2 linked regions of the Rhinolophus ferrumequinum genome follow. The protein of the gene in region 1 binds, or shares a complex with, the protein of each later gene. Links are inferred from orthologs where the notes say so. Each region holds a gene or a part of one and is shown on either strand. Other genes may lie near its edges.

Region 1 (12,670 bases):
TCATAGGCAAATAGTACTATATATTTATTTTGAAAAAGGAATGCTAATGCTATGAGAATAAGGACACCGCTCAGGTCACCCTGTTAGTGAGTGACAGGGACAAAGATTGAACCCAGCTCTGCTGCCTTGAACGCTGTGTGGTTGACCTTTGATATCACCCTGAAAAGATTGTGAAAACAATCACACATGGTCCCTGAAATGTTTCCTCCCTCTTTAGAGGAGGCCCAAACTGCTCCGAAAAGCTGCTTGGACATTGTGTTTATAGATTGTGATTACTGCTTGAAAAGAACCAAGAAATACTTTTAGAAAATTATGTGACTCTGATATCGAAGCTCTTTATACAGAACAACCTGTAAAAATAAATTCCCCTTATAACTTTGAAACTATGAAATATTTTAAGTGGAATATAGGCAATGAAATACCTTAATGGTATAAAATTTTATGCCATTTTTACTTGAAAAGATGTTTTCATATGTGTTCTGTGAAATAATCTTCCCCAAAAAGAACAGCTTCTCTTGTAAATTTTTAAAGAATTTTAGTTGGAGGAAAAATTCACTGAGACTTTTAAAAAGAGTGGCAGTACATGGTTTTTATTTTTACATTTTCAAGAGTAGAAGCATTATTCATGCAAATATATTTGCAAAAGTATACTTTTGCAAGTACATTAGCCTATATATATAAGCCTATATACTAAAAACAAACAAACAAAAAAACAAAAAAACAAACTCAGTTCCATCTTAATGAAACTGAATGATCAGAGAATTATAAAATAAGTAACCCAATTATTTAGAAAGTTTGGGACATCAGGTATATTTAGGACAGGGTGGAACCCAGTTGATGACACTTCAATGTTTTTTTGTTTTGTTTATGGAATTTATTTTGAGTTTTTAAAAAATTATAATTTGCTATTTGCTTGTTTTTAAAGAGTAGGTAACAAAATTATTACATAAACAATAAATAATAAATTCAGCTCTATCACATAACTTCATGGAGAAGAGGGCATTTGTAGCATAGAGGGGAAGTCATTCAGAAGGTGCCTGCAAGATTTCCAGAACTTCTCTGTTGATTTCTCTGCTCTCATTTCATTTCTTATGAGGCAATAATTTCATTTCTTATGAGGTGATTTTAATGAAGGCATAGAAATTACGATGGAAGGATCTTTCCCACCCTATACAGGAGGCTGAACAGTGTACATAAGAAGATCCAAACCTGTACTGTAGAGTATTTTTATAAGTTTATTTGAGCCCAAACTGACAATACTGAGAAGCAAAATATTAAATGTTCTAATGTTTTAATGCTTTGCAATGTAATTGTACTTAACTTATATCCTTCAAAATTAGGGTAATTAGCTAGCTGCTAAATGTATGAGGCTTGAGTTCAGTGTGGGAAAGCTTTGCCAGTGTTTTGCATGCTTAATATAAATCCCCAAGGATAAAACTCCTCCCGTGAAGCAAGGTTTCAATCTAGGTCTCTCAGAATACTTGAGTCGCAGGATAAACACACTATTTTCCGTGTGTGTGTGTTTATTGCAATAGGTGATTTGATAATCATGCTAAATACTGGGATCTATGAACAACTCTATTAGACTTGAGTACATAGAAAGACTTCAGAATTTTATTTTAATTAAATTAAACGGGCCACAAAGTTATTCTGTATATAATGAAACACATGATTGTGCTGCACGGTAATTAGCTGTAAGTCATCAGAAACTTACAAAATGATGTCAATTTGTCAGCATTAATATTACACAATGAAATCTCATTTTACAAAACTTCTCTGTAATCATAAAGTTTTCCTTGAATAAGAACCATTCTCCCTCTTCTTTCTTTCTCTGTCTCCTCTTTTTCCTTTTCCTCCTTCTCATTCCTGAGACAGAGGGACCCAAATTCTGCCCAAGCATTTCCACTCATTCACTCTTTCCTTCCCGCCATCGTGAGGGGATCCAGCTGCTTGAAAGGACCAGACCCTGAATTTTGCAGACTTTGAAGCCATGCTGAGTTTGGGTCCTTATATGTGCTTCTCCTGCTTTGCTTGGAGGAGCCTTTATAACATCTTCAATTGTGTGGGTGTGGGATTGAAAGAAGAAACCCAGGCATGAGGTGAAAGGGTGTACCCTTGGAGAGAAAGGACACATGCCAATGGTTCTGGAAACCTAGAATTTGACAGTTTGGGATCAGAGGATTGAGTGTCAGGATGGAGAGAATGGGTGGGGAAAGGAGGGGAGCAGAGCAGCCTATAGGGTCCAGTACTTCTGTAAAAGACTCTAGGTGTCTATACATGTCCCTGGGGCATCGATTTTGGCAGATTTAACCCAAGCTCCTCCTCCTCAGGAAAGCTGGGAGATTGAGAGTGAGAACAGAGCCACTCTAGTTTTTCTCACCAGCCTTTACAAGAGAAGCATGTGTACCTTCTTGGAGGAGTCACACAGATTAGGGCCTAATTTTAGCCATGTCACTTTTTAGCTGTGTGTATTCAAGTACCTAGGTAGTCAGCGACCTCTCTGAGCCCTACTTTTCCCTCTGATGGTTTCCTTATTGCTGAAGTGGGAATAATGCTCTCTACTTTACATAGTTATTGTGAGGATTTAGTGAAAGGAAGCACCTAAGCATTGCTTAAAGCAGAGTAGGCTCTTGACAAAATTTGTTTTCTTTCCCTGAGGCACAAACAAAGGCTTCCCCCTTTGCCTTCCCCGTCCCCCAGCTTTCCTCAATTTCACCCACCTGTATTTATTTCATTTCTCTTCTGAGGATCAGAATATTAAAAATAAATGCACAAGGGATTAGGGGTGAGTACGTTTGAGACAGAAGATAAGCGACAGCCTTTGGTTCCTTCCAGCTGGGTTGCAGGAAGGAATGTCCCAGTGGGGGAGGGAATTCATGGTGAAAGGCAGAGGATCCTTCAGGGAACAAAAACATTTCCCATCCTTTGTCTTTTGTGGAGTGGGAGCTGTGACTGTCCTGCCCACTGCACCTAGGGCCTCTGACAGACCAGACACTGCCCCACCATCAGATCTTAGAGGTTTCTAAAGGTCCTGTGCAGGACAGCTCTGCTGGTGATTTGGGGGCCTTTGGTAGGACAATTGCTGCACCTGACACATTTAGCCCATCAGTTGTGTTAAGTGCTACAGGCTTGCCTCTCAAAACTGGACTTACCACTATACTGCAATAGTCTTCCCCCAGATCCATTTCTGATGTTTGAGGAAAGCCAAGCTGATATTAAAAATGAAATTGGTTCTCTCACAGCATCTTAGACCCACACAACCATTCTTGGCTCCTCTTTAAAGTACCTGCTGGTTTTCCTTTCCTACTCAATCTCTGTTTAACAGTCTTCATTAATATTTCAGAAACATTAGGTAGCCTGTGCATTGATGGTACTTTATTTCCCAGGCTAGAAAAACACTTTTCTTGGAATTTGATTGCTTTGTGCAGTTTAACAACCTGTGCTAGGCTAAGAGTCAAACATTATTGCCCTTGTAATTATCTTGTCATAGCCAAGAGATGATAGATGAGGGTATGTCTGCTCTGCAAAAGGCCAATTCAGTTTTGACATTAACAGACGTCGTGATCCAAATAAAATACAAACAATGGGCTATCAACTCAATCCAATCATATCCAGTCAGTCATCACCCGCTCTCCACATCGCTACCCACTAAGTTATACTGATAAATAGGTTCTTTGAGTAGGAACTGCAATATTAAAAAGTTAGAAAACATTCAGTGAAAACACCCCACCCCCTAATTTGCACTGAGCTAGTAAGTTCAGTGAAATTTCTGTGCATGCACCAAAATGAAACAATTCCATTTTTAGGACTGTTTCTTTAGTTGTAGCTTCAGAAGCGTTTTAATAAGAAGATTCCACTACAAATAAAGATATCAGACTTTGGGGCAAAAACCTCATTAAGAAGTAGAAGAAAGCACATTTCTCTTTCATTGCTAACAAGCTTTTAGAAAGAATTTCTCAAAGGCTCTAAAAAGCCCCAGGCTGATATGCAAACGCCCCGCCCCCCCTTCCCACTCTCCCCGGTTCCTTGACAGCCGCTAACTTCCTAAGGGCATCCAAGGAGCACAGACGACACTGCAAGCTTCAAGTGACTTATGAGTAATATCAAGTTAACCGAGTGCTGAGGGGGCTTCAAAGCAGGCCGCCCAAAGGCGCTAAAGAGGGACGCAGGGATTTACCTGGGTGAGGAACTGTATTTAGCTTTTCTAGTTCAGAAAAGGCCTCCTGAACTGTTAGGAAACACAACCCAGTTATCAATCCCTCGCCTTCGCCACTCTATTTCCGCCTATTTACTCCAGGAACGACCTGGGTGCACCAGCTCCGCGCCCTGCAGCTCTCTGAGCTGAGGCTGCTCCTTCCTTGAGAGCCATCTGCCTTTCTTGTCCCACCTGTATTTCCATTTTCTTGGCTGAATATGAAAGCAGCCGGCCCTCCGCCCCACTCCATTCCGCAGGTGCCCCCACAGAAGCACACTCGGTACCTTCCAGGGCTGGAGAGAAGATGCTCACAGAGATCGGACACCTACCGATGACCCGCCCCTGGGGAGCAGCGGCGGGTGGAGCCCGCGCCCGTCGGTCCCCCTGCGCTGCCCGCCGCACCCTGGGGCGCCCCCTCTCCGCGCTGCCGGCCCCTGAACTCAGCACGCAGCAACGTCACCTGAGTGCTCACAGTGCTCCCACCCCCGCGGTGCCACGGCGGCCAGCAGCCCGCACGCCCTTCTCTGCGGGGCTGCGGGCCGACCGGATCAGCTGCGGAAAGGTGGAGAGGAGTAGGAGGGTCTGGATCCCGACCGCAGTCTGAGACCGATTGGGAACCCACCTTTTCTCCATTTCCAAAGGGGGTGTCAGAAGAAAATATAAAACAACAACGGCCCAGCCCCAAACGGCGGTCTTACTCTAGCCACTTAAAGCGTGCTTCATCCAATCAGCAATCTGATTGAGCGCCTATGGTTTGCCCTGGCGCTCTTCTAGGAGTTTGGGAGGTCGTAGAGAATAAAATGTTAACACATCTCTGCTCTCAAGAGCTTGTTTTATTCAAGTGAGTGTGGTAGTCACGTAGGTTCCTGTGAACCTTTGTAAGTGCTTTCGGCAAAGGAGTGAAGCAATAGAAATCCAACCTTCTTTTTATTTCAGCAAATGTTTACTGATGTCCCGAAGATTCAAAGGAAGGAAGGGGGAGGGAGAGAAGGAAGGAGCGAGGGAAGGGGAAACCTGTAATTCCACCAAGGAACTAGTGGGAATTTTGGCTTAGCCTTCTTAAATCTCTTTGGTATCCCCCAAACTGTTAAGTCAACCCAGCAAAACTACTTGATAATGACTGCAAGCTTCATGTTTTCCCCTTGATCAAATCTATTGGCCTCAGTTGCTACTTAGCAAAATACGGTGACATTTGTAAAGCTGGAGCTGGATCATTTCTTCTTATCCAAGGGAGCCTCATAGGGTTTAGAGACAGACAGCCCGAATTCCATCCCAGTATCATCACTGACTATTAGGCGTATGACTTTGGGCAGCTTCCTCAATGTATCTAATCCTCAGTGGCTCCTTCTATAAATTGAGGGTTGTAATACTTTCCTCCTAGGGTTGCTGGGAGGCTTCAGGGGATGATATATGCAAAAGCACTGAAACTGGCCCGGCATGTAATGGTGCTCAATAAGTGGTCCCTAGGGTAATTAATTATGATTATAACACCTTTCAGAATCTTTTCTCCTTCTGTAATCTGAACGGTCAGAGTGCCTGGTGAAATGTCATGTATTTACACATTAAATTAAAAAAAATCAGAAAAACTTGAGAGATTGGCAAAATTGGCTCCAAAATTCCACAGATCAGACGTTTTAAAAGCAAGTATAGAGTCATTTGATTAAACATTTTAGAACTGGAGGGTACCTTAGAGTTAGTGTTTTATGCAAAAGTATACTGTCTCTAAATGAATATATGCCCCAAAATCTCTCAAAGAAAAACCACAGGAAGGAGCACGAGGAATGGAATTTAGAGATAATTTAAAGAGAGTTCAAAGTGGGAGACTTAGTGGCCAAGGTCCTAGAAGGGTGTGGGGTCTGTTCGTAAGTGTGAAGTGAGATTGCATGGCAGCATTTTTGAGGAAAGGGAAAAAAAAGAAAGAAAAACAGAAATCACCACCTCATCCATCTCTTAGGCTGATTCTTATCTGTTATTGAAACTTCTGTAATACCCTTGTCAAAAAGCATTTTGTATTTCTCTGGTAATATAAAAATGCAGTCCCCTCTGAGGTCATACACCTCACATTTTCTCCAAGTTAAATTCTTGAAGTTTATCTCGTTCAACTTTTTTACCCTGATCAGATTTTGAGTCTTTTCCAGGTAAACTCCAGGGTGGCTTCTCTTGCATTTCTTACTTGGAGGCATTCATCTTAAAAAGGCCAGAGTCTCTGCAATAATAATTTTGCCATTTCAATCCTTTGTTCCCGTGATTGATAATGATGATGACAATCAAATCCTATCTAACGGTGCACTCTACATGAAGATGAATAAATCTCTTTTTGTTGTTGTTGCCATATTGTAAAAGTTAAACCAATTTTTTTTCCTCGCCCAGTATGTTGCACTGTGATTTACAAGGTATTGGTAGCTAAAAGGTCTGTACTAGAGACCACTATTGAGGAAAACATCATCACATGAGATTTAATTGCATCCTTGTTTATGTTTGACAATTTCCACAGATGTTGATGGAGGATATGTGACCTCATCTTGTCTTGTGGTGGCACATTTATATATATGAGGTTGGTGCAAAAGTAATTGCGGTTTAAAAGGTTAAACATAATTGCAAAAACCAGAATTACTTTCCTACCAACCTACTACTTTAAAGTGTCATTATGAATATGATTTATTTTATAACAACTCTGGAAAGTACACAGGATGGGTGTTATCCCATTTTACTAATAAAGAAACTGAGATAAAAGTTAAAATAAATGATAGTGAAGTGAAGGCTGAACCAGGAATAGAATCCTGTCCAGTTCTTAACTCTAAACTGAGTTCTTTTGATGATGTCACCTGCTTTGGAGAGTGCTAGAGGAGCCAGAACTCAGAGTTAAAACTCTGCACCTGAAACATCTGTGTCTTTTTTCTCAGCAGGATACAGGGCTGGGGTTTGAGACAAACCATTTCACTGCTACTGGTGGTGTGTGACGGGAGCTGCTGCTGACCTGGTTTTGTTCCACTCTAGACCTAGACTTCTGACTCTGCTTATCTGGTAAATTTTCATCTGGTTCAAGAATTTTTGATGAGGTTCATTGATTCTGGTCTTATAAAAGTAACAGAAGGAATGATTGATGACTGATCACACAAGCTGATGGGAACGAGGTTCCTTATGCTCCATACATGTATATTCAGAGTGTACAAATACCCATTGGGGTTCTGGTGTCTATTTCTCTGCATTAAGGGACTATTCAGGGACATCACCATGCTGATCTGGCATGGCTTTCTTTTGAGGACCCTGGCCTGGATGTCACTTCTTTCCACAATCTGCCTGCTGTCAGCAATGCATTTACTCAAAGCACAGCTCTGAGAACTGAGTCCTAATCACCCATTTCTAGGAGGATCTGCCTCCCTCCTAAATGCTTTACAGTATTCTGGCTGAGGCTATGGAGAAGTGCTCTCTCCCTAAAACGAACACATAGTGTCCACATTCATTCTAGGGGTTGAATTCTTAATGAGCTGTGACAATACAAAGGACTTTATAAAGTCCCATTAGCAGGAAGGATCTTTCTCTTACAGCTATATGGTGGTGTATACCCATTCAGATTATGATATTTGAAAACGTCTCACAAATTGCTTCATCTCAGGGTGTTGCTGTTTGATGATATTTTGTGCCCACGAATATGTGCATTGCATAAGCACCAATGAGATATTGCAATGTTTCTGAAAGTGTACTCCACAGAACACTAGTGCCATGAGATGGTCTATAAACAAATGGTTTTATGGTCATGATAGATTAAATTATTGATCCCAGGTCTTTTACCCCTTCCTGGATCCCCTTCCTTGCAATGGCCTCATCGTGGACAGAGCATATTTTATCATCCCTTTCCTTTGGGCTTGGCCCTGTGACTTGCTTTGTCCACTTGAACGTGTGTTAGAGAGACAGTATGAGAATTCTAAGATTAGCACTTAAGAGGTATCATGCATTTTCGCTGCCTCTTTCGTACCTCTGCCCTTGTCTGAGAGGATCATGGTGTGGCTAGCTTGCTGGGCTGAGGAGGGTGAGAGATGTGTGGAATACCCAGATCCACAGACCTGCCGCTTAACGCAGAGCTGTTTTAGTCAAATTGCAGATCTGTAAGAATAAATGATGATTGTTTTAAGTCACTGAGTTTGACATGGTTTGTCATCCAGAACTATTGTGGCCATAGATGACTGATATAATGGTCTAAAGAGTTTGGAACACATCATATAATATATAACTCTCTCACTCCCCTTTTGAGAGTCATAATTCACATTGATGCATTAAAGGCTCTGAGAAGAACTGCATTAAACCATTACTTCCCAAACTTACTTTATTTTTATACCTTCCTATCACAGTAATATCTTATAGAACATGCACTTTGAAATTTTTAAAAATTACTAAGGGCCGTTTGTGTAAATTCTAGACTTGCTATTAAGAAAACTGAGTTGAACTTTTAGAACAGTTTGCAATGATTTCCAAGCTTTACCAATCAATTGGACTCTTTAAAACTTTGCTTATTAGTAAGCCTCCATTTACCTTCTTATGACTGCTGAATTTCACGTCAATGACTTACATTGTATGGCTCCAAATTTCTAAATGATTAAAAGTTATGTTCCACTGCTGATGACAGCCATATTTCAGAATGATTTTATAATCAATATAAGAACATTTATTTTTAAATCAATGACCAATGAATTAAATTGATCAGTTTTAATTACATGCATTTTTTTCCCAAAAATCACACATCTATTAAAGTTACTCAGAAACTATGTTCATGTCAAAATGAGAATAAATAACTTGAAATACTGGTTCATCCCATTTTTTCCACATTTTTGAGAAATGTGGAGCACATAGAGGAGAGCTCTTTTTCAAGCTTAGTCACAATGCCAAGCACCAAAAAAAAACAGGGATTTCAGAAAGTGTTATAAAGAAACAACGTTGAATGAAAATAACGTTATCTGACCTGCCGTAGTATAAAAATAACAAGTACTGTTTTAGGACAGATCTGTGCCTAAAACCTCATAATATTTCTGAGCTTTCGCTTCCTTATCTGTGACTCAGGGGTGATAGTATATATCTCAGTCCACTAGAGTGTAAGCTCTACCTGGCCCATAGTAAGTGCTTAACAAATAATTGTTGAATTTGTGGAATAAGTAAAGGTAGCTATTCAGCTTCCAATTTTCACTTTTCACCTAGTTCTATTAAAAGACCACAGTAAAATCAAGGAGAGATTGTAGAGGGTCCACTGGTTTGCTATGAGTTTCTCAATTCTGATTCTGACTGTTTTTACCTCTTTGTATTCCAAATGGCTATTACAAAGTTACAGTATCCTTATGTATTGAGTAAAAATAGCTCCATTATACAGGAAAAAAGGTGAAAAATATATGAGCAGGCAATGCTCATGATGCTTCCCCTGTGTATATTCATGTCATTGGTCATGTTGAAATGTTCGTCCATGTGAATGCCAGGATCTGACCACTCAGGTTTGTCTACAAACATGGTACCACCAAACATTCTTACTTTTTCTGTTTTTCAATGTTTTGGACCACACACACACACACACACACACACACACACACACACACGGTGCCAAAAAAATGTATACACATTTTAAGAAAGGAAAAAACTATGAAAATTGTAATACTCAATGTATACCAGTAACAAAAGATGAATACAAGTCACGTTTGACTTCTGCAATTACAAGAGGTGCTCAAAGTGGTTACCATCAGCCTCCAGACACTTCTGATTATGGTGAACAACTGCTTTAGCAACATTGACCAGAGTGTCCACTTGTATACATTTTTTTGGCACCCCCGGTATATAAGTGTACATTTCTGAAAAAACCTTTCCCTGTATTGTCAAAGAAAAAATTGTGAACATGTTAGAGTAGATCACCTATCAGGCTACATTTTTTTATGTAATTTCTCATGAAATGGATTGACATATTGCATATTTCACCGGGAAGCTTTCACACAAATATTACCCTAGAGAGTTGGAAGACCTCCAGAGCTTGAAAGGTGGTTTCTTGGAAAGGCAAATGCCTCATTGGCAATAGATTCTAGCACTAAATGCAATTCTCACTACTGACCACTTGGTGGCAGTGGCAACTAAGTGCCAACTCAAGAGGTCAGGGTACACACAAATATATGATCCCTAATTTCTCTTTATTCAAATTTTAGGACCTACAAGAGGTGTTCTGTCAATCCCATGAGTTAGGATAAACTTTGCTAATTGAGAAAAGAGGCTATAATAAAAATTTTAATAAGGTTCTTACTCTAGTTTATGACATTAGGATAGGCTCATAGTTAGGTGACACTTGGAAAGATGAATAATGAAAATTTCTGCAGTATTCTTTAATAATGTTTACCTACACTCCGCGTCACTCACACACTTTCTGGGCCATACCCCAGAACCAGTTATCATCCTGAACTTCTCCACCGCTGAAATCTGAAATGCTGCTCTCTGACCACAAACACCTATTGTCCTCTTTTCTCTCTTACTGCAAAGGTTATGTTCTCTCAGAGACGACAGTCTCTTGAGTTCTTATTCTCTTTACCCCTTGACTCAGTCCAAGTTCCAGGGTTAGTCCTGAAAATCCTCCCTCTATTAACCTCCTTGTCCTTCTTCGATACCCCTGTAAGGCTGTGTATCCTCCCGTGCCTATCCCTCTCCTCTTCTATATTTTCTAGCGTCCCTTAACTTGTAGTGGCCATAGAACCAAGTTCTCATCAATGAATGTAATAGGAAGTGATATCTGCATATTCCACCTTCCTTTTTAGAAAGAAAATTCCTTGCTCTAGACTTTCTCTTTTCTCTTCCCCATGAGCTGGAACACAGATGAAGGAGCTAACCAACTTTGACCGCACAGATGAGCACAGGATGGGAGGAACGTAGGTCCCTGAATAAACTCATGAGTCTGAGCCTCCTGGTCAACCTTGACTTTTCATCTTGTGAGTGTTAAGTGACAGAGAGGTAAAATTCTATTTTATGTAAGCCACTGTGTATTACGGTCTTTTTGTCATTACTGTTTAACCTTTACCCTAACCAATATAAGACCTACCTCTAGGAACCTCATGCCTAGATCAACCCAACTCTCTACCTCCTTCATGTTTGTAGGCCAAGAGCTTCCCAAGATAAGCAACATATGTACACTGATTACCTCCATTACATACAAACACTGACTTCCCCCTCCAGCTGGGCCCTCACACTGCCCAGTGGTCTTGTTGCACATCCTTAGTTGGCTCTCCTATTCTCCCTGGTAGCATTTCAACTCTTTCCTAAAACTATCTTCTACTTGACAGAAAAAACAGAAAAGATCAGGAAGTAACTCCTTCCACTTCTTATATCAAACATAATTACTTGCTTCTGTCCTAACATTTTAACCTCTTGTCATAATGGAATTCCTTCCCTTCCCTCCCTAAGGCTCATCCTTCCACATACCCTGGACCTCATGCCTTTCTACCTCCACGGGAACTCGACACCATCAGTTATCCTTTGGCTTTTCTGCACCATCAAAGATTCCTATCTACTCTTTCAAATCAAAATTTAAATATGTTTATTTCCCATTTCCTATTTTAAAAAGAACAATAATTCAAAACTTTGTTCGGATCCCATCAAGCGAATGCCCTATCTTTCATTCATAGTCACGTTCTTTAAAAGTTTTGACTATACTTGCTGCTTAAATATTCTGTCTATATATCTTTATCTATGTCTATATCTATGCCTATGCTTATGCCTATATTTATATCTATATCTATATCTGTATCTATATAATCTATACTGATATTTTGAAGAATGTTATTTAGAAACCAAAATCTGGTAGCGGATGCAGTGTTTCTATTGAATAAGTGGGACCTAATAAAGGCTTCCAAAGCTGACTTTTTTGGCACTACATTCACAAATACTTTGATGATAGGTTTATAGCTGTTTTGAGAACAAATAAACGGGGGAAAAGGGACAAAATCTTCCTTACAGAGAAAATTGCAAATAATGCATGTAAATATTATGCCCCCTCCCCAGGAACTGGAGCTTAATTTCCTTCTCCTTGAGTGTGGGCTGGGCTTAGTGACTTGTTCCAAAGAATAAAGTATGAAAAGAAAAAAAAAGTAACTTATAGTAGATAAATCTGGCAAACATTACCTTAATCAAGTGAGTAGTATTGACATCACTAGTGTTGTGTTGATATCACATGATAATTCATATTGATATCACATGCTCTCTGACACTAAGTGATGAGAAAGGTACTTCATGTGTGTAATATTCTTCTCTGAAACCCATAACCCCAGTGTAATCATAAGAAAAAAATCAGACAAACCTAAATTGAGGGACATTTTATAAAATATTCTACCAGTACTCTTAAAATTGTCAAAAAACAATGATGGACTGAGAAACTCATAGACCAGAGGCAACTGAAGAGACATGACGCCTAAATGTAATGTGGTAACCTAGATGAGATCTTAGAACAGAAAAAGGACATTAGGG
Region 2 (11,074 bases), on another chromosome or scaffold:
TCGTTGGTCGGCCACTCATGGCAGCTCACGGTAGCCCACGGCAGCACACACCAGCCCACAGCCACTCATGCTGGCTGCCAGCTACGGCAGCACAGCAGCCCCGTGGCAGCAGCCCCACTGCAGCTCACAGCAGCCCAGCTCCAGGAAGAGCCATTGTTCACAATCTTAGCTGTAGAGGGCGCAGCTCACTGGCTCATGTGGAAATCGAACCCGTATCTCTGCGTTAGGAGCACGGCACCCCAAACTCCTGAGCCACCGGGCCGGCCCAACTAACCTTTTATGATATCAGAGGGATTATTCATTATGAATTTGTACCAACTGGACAAACAGTCAACCAATTTTTTCTATTTGGAAGTGCTGAAAAGGCTGAGTGAAAAAGTTAGATGACCTGAACTTTTCGCCAACAATTCATGGCTCCTTCATCACGACAATGCACCAGCTCACACAGCACTGTCTGTGAGGGAGTTTTTAGTCAATAAACAAATAACTGTATTGGGACAGCCTCCCTACTCACCTGATCTGGCCCCCAATGACTTCTTTCTTTACCCGAAGATAAAAGAAATATTGAAACGAAAGACATCTTGATGACATTTAGGACATCAAGGTTAATACGACAATAGCTGTAAAGGCCATTCCAGAAAAAGAGTTCCAAAATTGCTTTGAAGGGTGGACTAGGCGCTGGCGCCAAGGGCAGTACTTCGAAGGTGACCTTAGTGATATTCAGCTATGAGGTATGTAGCAGTTTTTCTAGGAAGAATTCACAAACGTAACTGTCTGACTTCATATATATATAGTCCTAAGAATTTCTAATGACAAAGTCATACTTACTTAGTTTGGTATTTGCACTGATTGTGACCTGAAAAGCTTCAAGCACAAATTTTAGTTTAAAGTAGTACTGTAGTGGTACTGCTCCAGGTGCCTGGCAGAAGCAAACACAGGAATTTCAAGAATCCCTTTGGATACAGTTCAATAAATATATGCAGAAAATGAAAATTCACTAAACACATGAGGAAGACACCATGAGTCAGTATCAACAGAAATAACAAACTGCAGAATCAGATAGACAAATACAGCAGACACTGGAATAATTAGATACAAATATAAAATTAATGTTTAAAAATAAAAATGTTTTATAGATTTAAAATAATAAAAGAGACTTAAAATGTGCTGAATAAAAAATATAAAACTGTAATTGACCAGGCAGATCTGAAAAGGAACCAAGAACTTTTGAAAATAAGTTAATTTAAAAGTTCAATACACAGATTAAACCCCAGATCAGTTAAAAGTGAAAGTGCATTGGTGAACTGGAATATAACTCTGAAAAAGTTGTTCAAAATGCAGCACACAGAGAAAAAGAGAATGTAGGAAAGAGAGGGTATAAGATACAGAGAAGAAAGTGAGCAGACAAGATATACATATCTATATATATATATCTATATGTATATATAGATATACATACATATATATCTATATATAGATGTATCTATATATGAAATTCCAGAATGAGAAATAGAGAACAGGGGAGAGGCAATATTCAAAGAAATAATAACTAATAATTTTCCAGAATTCATGAGAAACACAAACCTTCAGATTCAAGAATGCACGCCAGCATAAATTAAAAGAAATCCAGACACATCATGTGAAACATCAAAGCAGACCATCAAAGCCAAAGAGAAGATTTTAAAAGCAGCCAGATAGAATACAGATTATCTATAAAGGAATCATTATTAAAACTGACAGCTGAATTCTCAGCAGTAACAATGAAAACCAGAAGAAACTGAAATAATAAAGTACTAAGAAAAAACAATTGTCAACAGAATAACTATAGTCACTGAAACTGTTTTTCAAGAATAGCAAAATACATTTAATTAAAACAAAACAAACCTTAGTTCATTACTAACAGACTCTAAGTTAGCATCTAACTTAGAATACTTCAGAAAGATGTATGAACTGTGATCAGAAAATACAGTGAATGTTTATAACAAAATTTATTACAGTAAAAGACACATTGCCATTAATCCCCCTCAAAATACTCCCCCTCGCTTCAAACATACTTATACCATCGTTCTTGCCACTTTCTGAAGCAGTTCTAGAAGCCGTCTTTCATGTCTTTAGTTGCGCTGTCATAGCTGACTCAATGTCCTGAATCAATTCAAAACGTTTACCTTTCATGGTCATTTTGACTTTGGAGAAGAGCCAGAAGTCATACGATGCCAAATTTGGTGAATAAGGTGCACGAGAATATACCGTAATGTTTTTATTTGACAGAAATTACCACACTAGAAGTGATGTGTGACACTGAGCGTTTCTGTTGTGATCACAAAATACAGTGAATACTGCTGCCGAGTGCCATCCAACGGAAAGGCAAGGATCTTCAATACGGGAAACAGCGCGATGAAACTTAGTAACAGTATGTGAACTACAGTTCAGAGAAGATGTGTGTGAGGCTTGCGACAAGATAATGAAGCTAAGAGAGTCAGGAGGGTTGAGAAAGGTGAGTGCTTTATTCTGCTTCCCAGGGCGAGGTTCACCGGTCCCGCAGATGGGGCCGGTGAAGTCGCGCCCAGGGCAGAGCGAGGGAGGCATATATGTGATTTTTGGGGTGGGGTTTGGCTGAGTGAGGTGGCAGTTGGGCAGGCCCCCCAGCGCAGATCGGGCGCAAGCGGCTGCATCCGGAGTTGTTTATCGCACCAAAGGTCTGCTGCCTTTTCCGGGAAATGCCAGGGGCACCAGTTTCCATCATGCGAGCAGGGGTCTGACTTGGCAGAGGGGTATGACTTGGCTCCTGGACGCTTTGACCATGCCCGTAGCTGACCTAACAATGTGTTTAAAAATGTGCCGTAAATCATCCTCCATCATGACAACGCTCCATGTCACACATCGCTCCTGGTACGGCAAGTTCTATCAAATAAAAACATCACGGTGTGTCCTCATCCACCTTATTAATTGGATCTGGCACCGTGTGACTTCTGGCTCTTCCCCAAAGTCAAAATGATTCAGGACATCGAAGCAGCCACAATAAGTGCAACTAAAGACACTCACAAAAGAGGACTTCCAGAAGTGCTTCAGAAAGTGGTGAGAACAATGGGATGAATGTGTTTGAAATGAGGGGGAGCATTTTGAGGGAGATTAATGGCAATATGTCTTTTACTGTACTAATTTTTTTTATTTAAACATTCACCATATTGTTTGATCACACCTCGTACTTCAGAAAGAAGATAAATGGTTGTTAAAGATCTCAGATGTAAAACACAATGGTGAGAAAAAAATGGTAAGCTTGTAGGTAAATCTGAAAATAATGGTAACTGTATAAAACAAAATAATCTTTAATTTGTTCAATAAAAACTCAAGATAGAACTTAAATCTTAGAAAATAATAACATAAATTAGAAATAGTGGTGACTAGAGTTAAGGATTCTAAGGTCTTTACATTATTTGGGAGGAGGACAAAAAAACTAGTTAACTTTAAATGTAAAGAACTGAGGATGATATTAAAATGTCTAGGGTACATTCAAAACAATGAAAACTTAAACATAAACTAGAAGGCAATAAAGGGCAAGAGAAGGGAACATATTAAAATAAAATTCACAAACTATAATAGTAGCACTGAATCTCAGTAATTCAGTAAACAGAATAAATATAAACGGACTAAACTCGCCACGTAAAAGATAAAGATTGTCAGACTAAAAATTCCAAATTCAGCTATATATTTGTAATAGACACATATAAAACAAAAAGATACAGAAAAAGTGATAGTAATAGACACATTATTAAAGCTAGAGCGGGTCATTTTACATGATTTGGTTTATGAGGAAAATGAAACAATTTCCAATTAGAATGTCCGATAACATAAGTCAAAACTAAATAAAGCAAAAATTGTGAACTACAACAAATTAGATTCTAAGCTATTATCATAGCAAAAGAGTTACAGACATTTCTCTTAGTAATTGATAGCTCATGAGACAAGAAATCAATAAGACACAGAAGATTTAAACAACATATTAGCATGTTTCATCTTGTGAATACATACAGAACCATGCTCTAAACAATACTGTATACATATTCTTTTTAAAAACGAATAGAACTTTTTATGCAAAGTGAAAATTTTATAGGACACAAGGCAAGTTTGTATATGATGAGCCACATGAAATTGTTATTTGTACATCAAAAACAGTTGAAAATAATTAATTACACAAGACTGTATCTAATGCAGATTTCAAATACTGTACATGTTAAGATTTCTGACAAAAACCCAAGTTAGTTGGAACTTGGTACTCTCCCCCAAAATTTCAATTCCCATATATTTGGAATGTTACAAATATCTAAGTAATTGATGGGTCAAAGAAGAAATAATAGTGAAACTTATAAAAACTTAGAACTAAACACTGAATATTCTTCCTATCAAAATTGTAGGAGTTAGCAAAAATGATACATAAAAGGAAACCTATAGTCTTAAATGCTGATTTGTTTTAAAAAGTCTAAATATTATGACTAACGTTTCCAATTTAAAAAGTTAGAAAAATAGCAAAATAAACCTCAGAAAAAGTAAAGAAATAATAAAAAGAAGAAATTAGTGAAATAGAAAAAATATATAGTGAAGATCAACAAAGCCAAATATTAGATTTTTGAAATGGCTAACAAAATTCATCAACCTCTAGCAAGCCTGATCAAAAGACAGCAGCAGAGAGGAAGACATCACAAATAAACATAATTAAAATTAAACACAAGTACAGATGTACTGAGGCTTAAAATATTTGGAAGACAATATTATTAATAACTTTATACTGGCAAATTTGAAAACAAGTGAAATGGACATATTCTACAACAACTTAAATTCTTAACACAAACTGAAAAAGAGAGAGAAGCTAAACATTAAAAAATTTCACCACAAAAACATCAAATCCAAATAGTTTTTTACAAGACAGAAAAGGAATAAACCTTGCCCCCCAGTTCATTTTATGAAGCTAGTCCAACCTTATTGCCAAACCAGACAAAGGCAATATAAGAAAGGGAAATTACCAATCAACCTCACTCATGATAATAAATACAAAATGTACTAAATCACATATTAACAAATTGAACCCAATAACCTTTTAAAAGGTTTGTGTCATGAACACATGATTGGTTTAACATGAGAAAAATCTGTTCATTTCATTTACTACATTAAAGAGAAAAATGATAATGATCATCTTAATAGATACACAAAAAGTATTCAATAACATTCAATAATTCAAGAAAAAAACTATTAATAAGGCAGAAATAGAAGAGAACATCCTGCAAGTTATAAAGAATGTCTATAAAAAACCTAGAGCCAATAGCATGCTCCATAGCATGGTGAAACATTAGAAGCACTCTCCGTAAATCAGTAATTCTGCAAAACTGTCTGTTATCTCCATTTCCAACATTTACTGGAAGTTTTGGTCAGTGTACAAGTATATGCACACAAAGATAGACACACACACATACACACACACACACACACAAATACAGAAGGACTTGCACGGAGAAAATAAAATGCCATTATTTTATTATTTATGTAAATTGTCTTCATGGTAAACCCCAAAGAATTAATACATCTATAAATTAATTGTAATTAAAAAGTTTAGATGTAAACTTTCCATGTAAGAGCAAATTACATGTATACAGACCAGCAATAATGCTAGAAAAGGAAAAATTTGTTAAAAGATACCATTGAGAATAATTAAAAATAAGGAGTTTAAGTATAATTAAATTATAATTATAATTCTTTCAGCAAAAGACATAGAAGACCTTTATGAAGAAAACAGTAAAATGCTATTAAAAGATTAAATTTCTAAATAAATATGGAAAAGTACCATGTTCATGGATAACAAAATAAATTATCTTAAGGCTGTCAATTCCCTCCCAAAATCTATCTATAGAACCAATGCAATTCCCATCAAGGTTTCTCATAGAACTTGAAAAGCTGATATTCAGATTTATATGGAAAAGAAATGGACAGGAATAGCCAAGGAACTGCATAGAAGAAAAAACTGATAGGTGACTAGGGGGCTGAGAACCTCGTCCTACCAGATGTCAAAATTTATTTTAAAGTTATAATTAAGACTGAAGATTTGGCAGTGGAATAAAGAGTTCGGAAAGAGACTCACACATATATAGAAACCTGATATATTACAGAGATGGCATTGCAGATTATTGGGGTTGGGGCTATAGGATGAATTATTCAAGAAATGTGTAAGGACTTTTGGAAAAAGTAAAATTGTATCTCCATCTTATATCATACACAAAATTCCAGAAAAAGTGAGAATTTAAATGTGAAAGAAGTCAAAACATTTAAACTTTTAGAATATATAGACATACGTTAATGAATTCAAGGTACATAACTAACAAAGAATATCCAGGATGTATAAAGAACTCCCATGAATCAATAAGAAAAAGACAAATGACCCAAAAGAAAACGGACTAATATTGTTTGAAAGGCATTTTACGTAAGAGAAAAGATAAATGGCTCATAAACATATGCAAAGACACTCAACCTCTTTGGTAATTAGACAAATACAGATTAAAAGGAGAACATGATACCCCACGGTTGGCTAGGACAGGAAGCATTGGGAACTTTCACACCCTGCTGGTGGGAGCATAAATTGTTTGCTACTACTCTGTAAACATTTTGTTATCAGTAAAGCTGAACATGCACATACTCCATGACCCAGCAATTCACTACCTACTAGAAATATATCCTAGAAAAACTCTCACACATAGGTACCAGAATACATGTACAAGAATGTATTCTCTTACTTGGTGGGCTCAGGATTCGGAATTAACTCTGAAACGTTTAATTAAAAATCATACAACATACTCATCTTCCAAAATTAATATGTATGGAGCACATAAATAGTCTCTTCATGAATTTCTTATTCATTAATTGCTAAATATCAGTAATATCCTTTTGTAAATGCAGAGATAAAACACGTCTGACAGGTCAATTTGAGATACAGCATCAATGACTTTTTGTTGACACTGACACCCATACCCCCATTAATCACCGAAGACTAGATCAAGTATTTATGAAAGAAAATCCTTTTTGAAGCTTATTTCAATTTAACCAGGATTAACAGTAAATAAAACTTTTATCCTTATCATCATTTAGTAAAATAACTTTGGTTTTAATATCTTACTTAATCAGAAAACATACGGAAAGAAACAATAAGAATGTGGAGAGCCTGGTATCCTGTGATCTTCCTTAGTAACATTTTCAAGAGACTATAATCTACTCAACAGGAAGCATTCTAGCAAAGATCTTAATCAGATTCTGAGAAAATGCACACTGAAAATAAACAATATGCCACTAAAACCTAAACAATGAAGGTATTAGCAGTTATACAAAAGATTAGCCCCTATTTGATGACTCATTTCTGACATGATGAGTCTGTCTTTGAAGTGCTTTCTATACAAGCTAGAAAATATATAAAGGTAGGAATCATTGATGAAGCATGTTGAGGAATTTCCTTCATTTTACACATCCTTGTTTGCCTCTATGCAAACATCGAACTAAGAACAGCAAAAATGAGTCTCTCTTCCTACCTATTAATAATAACTTTTTCTTTGCTTTCTCAAGGCATTTTCCTTTCAGCATCGAAGTCCATAAGAAATTTAGAAGATGACATGGTATTTAATACATTTAGGCTGGGGAAAGCCTTTCAGAAGGAAGATACTGCAGAAAAATCAGTCGTTGCTCCTTCCCTGGAACAATATAAAAATGATGAGGGCAGTTTCATGAACGATGAGGAAAACAAAAATTCAAAGGTAAGTGGCAATATAACTTATCCTTTATTTCAATGTATATTTGAATGATTTTTATGAATCATATAAAAGTCAATACTTTTATAAACAGAAATATGTGCAAATAGTCACAATATGCATTAGGACAATTGATGAAATTTCATACATACCAGGTTGTTCTTTCATCCTGGACAACAACTCTTATCCAAAAGTTCCCCCCCCAAAAAAAAAAAACAAATGTGTATCGAAAGTACTTTTTTAAAGGCAAAACAGTATGGAGCATCTCTGTATTGATCAATAAGAATATCATGCTATTGTATTATATTACCATTCCCAATAAGACAGCTAAAACACAAATCAACCTTTTCTTTACAGAATGCAGGATCCAAACATAATTTCCTAAATAATGGTCTGCCACTGAATCTGGCTATAAAACCTTATCTTGCTCTAAAAGGATCTGTAGCTTTTCCAGCTGAGAATGGAGTTCAGAATACTCAATCAACACAAGAAAAGAGAGAAATGGGGGATGAAGAAAACTCAGCTAAATTTCCTATAGGAAGGAGAGATTTTGACAGTGAGTAGTCTTTTCAAATTCAATTCTTGTATCTTAACACAGAGTTTAACTGAGTTTGGATCCAATCATAACAAAATTAAATAAGACCATGGTTCAGTGACACTTGATATGTGATCCCTGCCAAATATGTGGGATTAAAAAGCATTTATTAGTATTATAATTTTGACTTACTCAGAATTAGCTATACTAGATCCATTCTTTTATTTCTGATAAATTTTGTGTGATGACAATAGTCCTTTAAACAATTAAAACTTTTTTGTTTTTCCATCAGTGCTCAGGTGTATGCTGGGAAGAGTCTATCGACCGTGTTGGCAAGTCTGATACCTGGTGGTCTAAGTCATCTTTTCAGAAGAAAACAAAATCATTTAATTGCCTGTGGGGGCCAAAGCCCTTAATGTTACTATGACTTGCATTATTTTAAATGTCTGTTTTAAATGAAAATACTATTAAGAGATATCAGTAACCTAAATGATATGCTTTATCTGTGCATTAAACTTTGTGAATATTCTGCATAATTATGACTTAGTAGTATTTTTTAAACAATGCTTAACATACTAACCTTACATACACTCCAGACCAAAATAATAAAGCATCATAATTTACACCTTGGTCTCTTAAAAATTAAGTAATGTCTTTGGTGAACGGTTTATGCATGTCCATAAATCTGAAGCACATAAAAGACAAATTCATAGTCTAAAAAACTGAGTTAACTTTGTCTGGCCAGTAATCAGTTTGTCCTTGGCGGAACACTTGTTGCTTTTTGCCACTCTAGTTAGTTTGCCATCCAATTTATTCTGCAAATCGTTTGATGTCTTAGGTATCTTAACATTTTTATGTCGAGGTGGCTCATTTCCATTATCACAGAGAATATTTTCATCATCTAAATCCACCTGTTTCCTTTTTGAGCTTTTCTTTCCTGCCTGACTAGTTGATTTTCTTTCTACTTTTTCATTTTTACTTCTGTCCAGATGAACATTTCCAGAACTTGTTCCAATTGTTGGTCTTCCAACAGATGAATTTACACCTTCTGTTATGCAAGATGAAAAGAGGAAGGAATTATATAATATTTAGTATTATTACACATGAGAATTTTACAATAAACTTTAAAAATGGCTAAAGAATTTTAAAAATGTATGATTTGCATAGTCATTTGTACATTGCATAAAATGTACAAATAATACAATAAATTACATGATTAACAAATACACTACATTACTACCACATTACTTTTCATTTTACCATATCATTTTTCATCCCCACAAACAACAAATACTTGCTTTGTTTGAATGTATGACATTTAATCCTTAAATGCTACAAGTTATTTCTTAAATACATTTAGTTAAATCAAACTGTGTCCTATTCCTATCTATAAAGTTGTACTTAATTTTTAATATAAACCCGTCTTTGAAGATATAAACCTTTACATTTCACATTTTACACTCTGCAAAAAACAATCTAGTTTCACTTAAGTTTTGTAAAATCAATTAGTACACTAGAATTAATGTTATTTAATTGTTCAAATAAGGTCAGTTACCAGAACAGTCATTTTCCATGTGAGGAACACACAATGGCTTTGATGCGGAATTAACATTATTCCATGTATTCCTGCTTATCAGGCAGTCATCTTTATAAGTACAAGAAAACTGGGATCTAATTAAGGTTTGCTTCATCTGGTAATAGGAAGAAAACAGAAAATATGCAATTTATTCTTTATTTGAATTTATTTTTTCATCTAGATAGAAATATACTGTATAGTAAGGACAGTATCAGAAAAATTTCCCTTAAAAAGTCAATTATTCATTGGGAACATTTAACCATTGAGGTTTCAAAGTTTGCAAATTCATATTCATTGCTACAACTAGCATTTTTATTCACTTTAGTAATATCTATTTTATGCATATTTTTCATATTTTTGTAACAACTTAGGAAGATCAATTTTAGACTCTTCAGAGGACTTTTTTACACACTCCTGTGTCTGAGCTGTTTTAGAAAATGAGTTTTATAAGTTTAATGATAATATACATGATATACATAATCCTAGAAAAATACAGTTCTTCCTAAAAATTACAAAGTATAACTCTTTTAGGAAAAAAACCACATATGATATTCAAGAAATTAGAGAAATTGAGGAAGAGAGAAATGCTCAGATAAAAAAGAGAACTAAGAGAGGGCAAAAGAAACAAAAATAGAAAACTATCAAAGAAATAAACTGAAAGATTCAACAAAATGGTGACTGAAAGACATTACTGATTAAAAACTTGGAATATTTAGGAAAATAAGAAAGATGATTCAAATATATAATTCTAGGAAAACTTGACCATATAATTTAATGGGTGACTATTTAAAATATACTCTTGCATTTATCTTCAAACATGAAAAGGAGAAAAATTAGAAAGTAGTTTTGGAAATGTATTCTGCAAACATAAAACCAGTGGCTGTTCGGGGGATAGAAATTAATTTCAGAACAAAGTAATCTATGCAGATAATGCATATTTCAACAATTACAGCTGATGTGTAGTAATGCTAGCTATAAATCCTTTTCAGAAGTAGACAAAGTTTAAATTTCAAATAAATGATTAAATAAAGAGGACTAACACTTCAAAGTATAACTATATTATGCTGAAGATTACTTACAGAACATTTATTGATATAGTTCATGAAATCTAAAACAGCATGACTTTATATTATATATTCAGTAGTTATATATTATCTTATATATGATATACATATATATTTATAT

Evidence for each region.
Region 2: the proteins of MCHR2 (region 1) and PMCH are in contact, whole or in part, in a cryo-EM structure (PDB 8WST), measured with the Homo sapiens proteins. The link is inferred for Rhinolophus ferrumequinum from reciprocal best matches to the Homo sapiens genes MCHR2 and PMCH. Residues at the interface, in NP_001035269.1 of Homo sapiens: His82, Gln92, Trp93, Gly96, Gly97, Thr110, Asp113, Gln117, Ile175, Phe177, Val181, Ser183, Cys184, Ala185, Phe186, Leu188, Thr189, Ser190, Pro191, Val194, Tyr197, Thr198, Tyr267, Gln271, Asn274, Met277, Glu278, Gln279, Pro280, Phe284; in NP_002665.2 of Homo sapiens: Leu151, Arg152, Cys153, Met154, Leu155, Gly156, Arg157, Val158, Tyr159, Arg160, Pro161, Cys162, Trp163.

The regions. Positions count from the first base shown.
Region 1 is NC_046286.1:54,608,005-54,620,674, forward strand, and holds the start of MCHR2 (melanin-concentrating hormone receptor 2), read right to left. Parts: upstream 4,739-12,670; 5' UTR 4,656-4,738; intron 1-4,655. UniProt on the Homo sapiens protein: Receptor for melanin-concentrating hormone, coupled to G proteins that activate phosphoinositide hydrolysis.
Region 2 is NC_046293.1:17,176,309-17,187,382, forward strand, and holds PMCH (pro-MCH), read left to right. Parts: upstream 1-7,474; 5' UTR 7,475-7,544; coding exon 7,545-7,784; intron 7,785-7,785; exon of another isoform or gene 7,786-8,135; coding exon 8,136-8,342; 3' UTR 8,343-8,365; downstream 8,366-11,074. Other genes in the region: PARPBP (PCNA-interacting partner), read right to left, coding at 9,021-9,361, 9,869-10,004. UniProt on the Homo sapiens protein: MCH may act as a neurotransmitter or neuromodulator in a broad array of neuronal functions directed toward the regulation of goal-directed behavior, such as food intake, and general arousal. May also have a role in spermatocyte differentiation.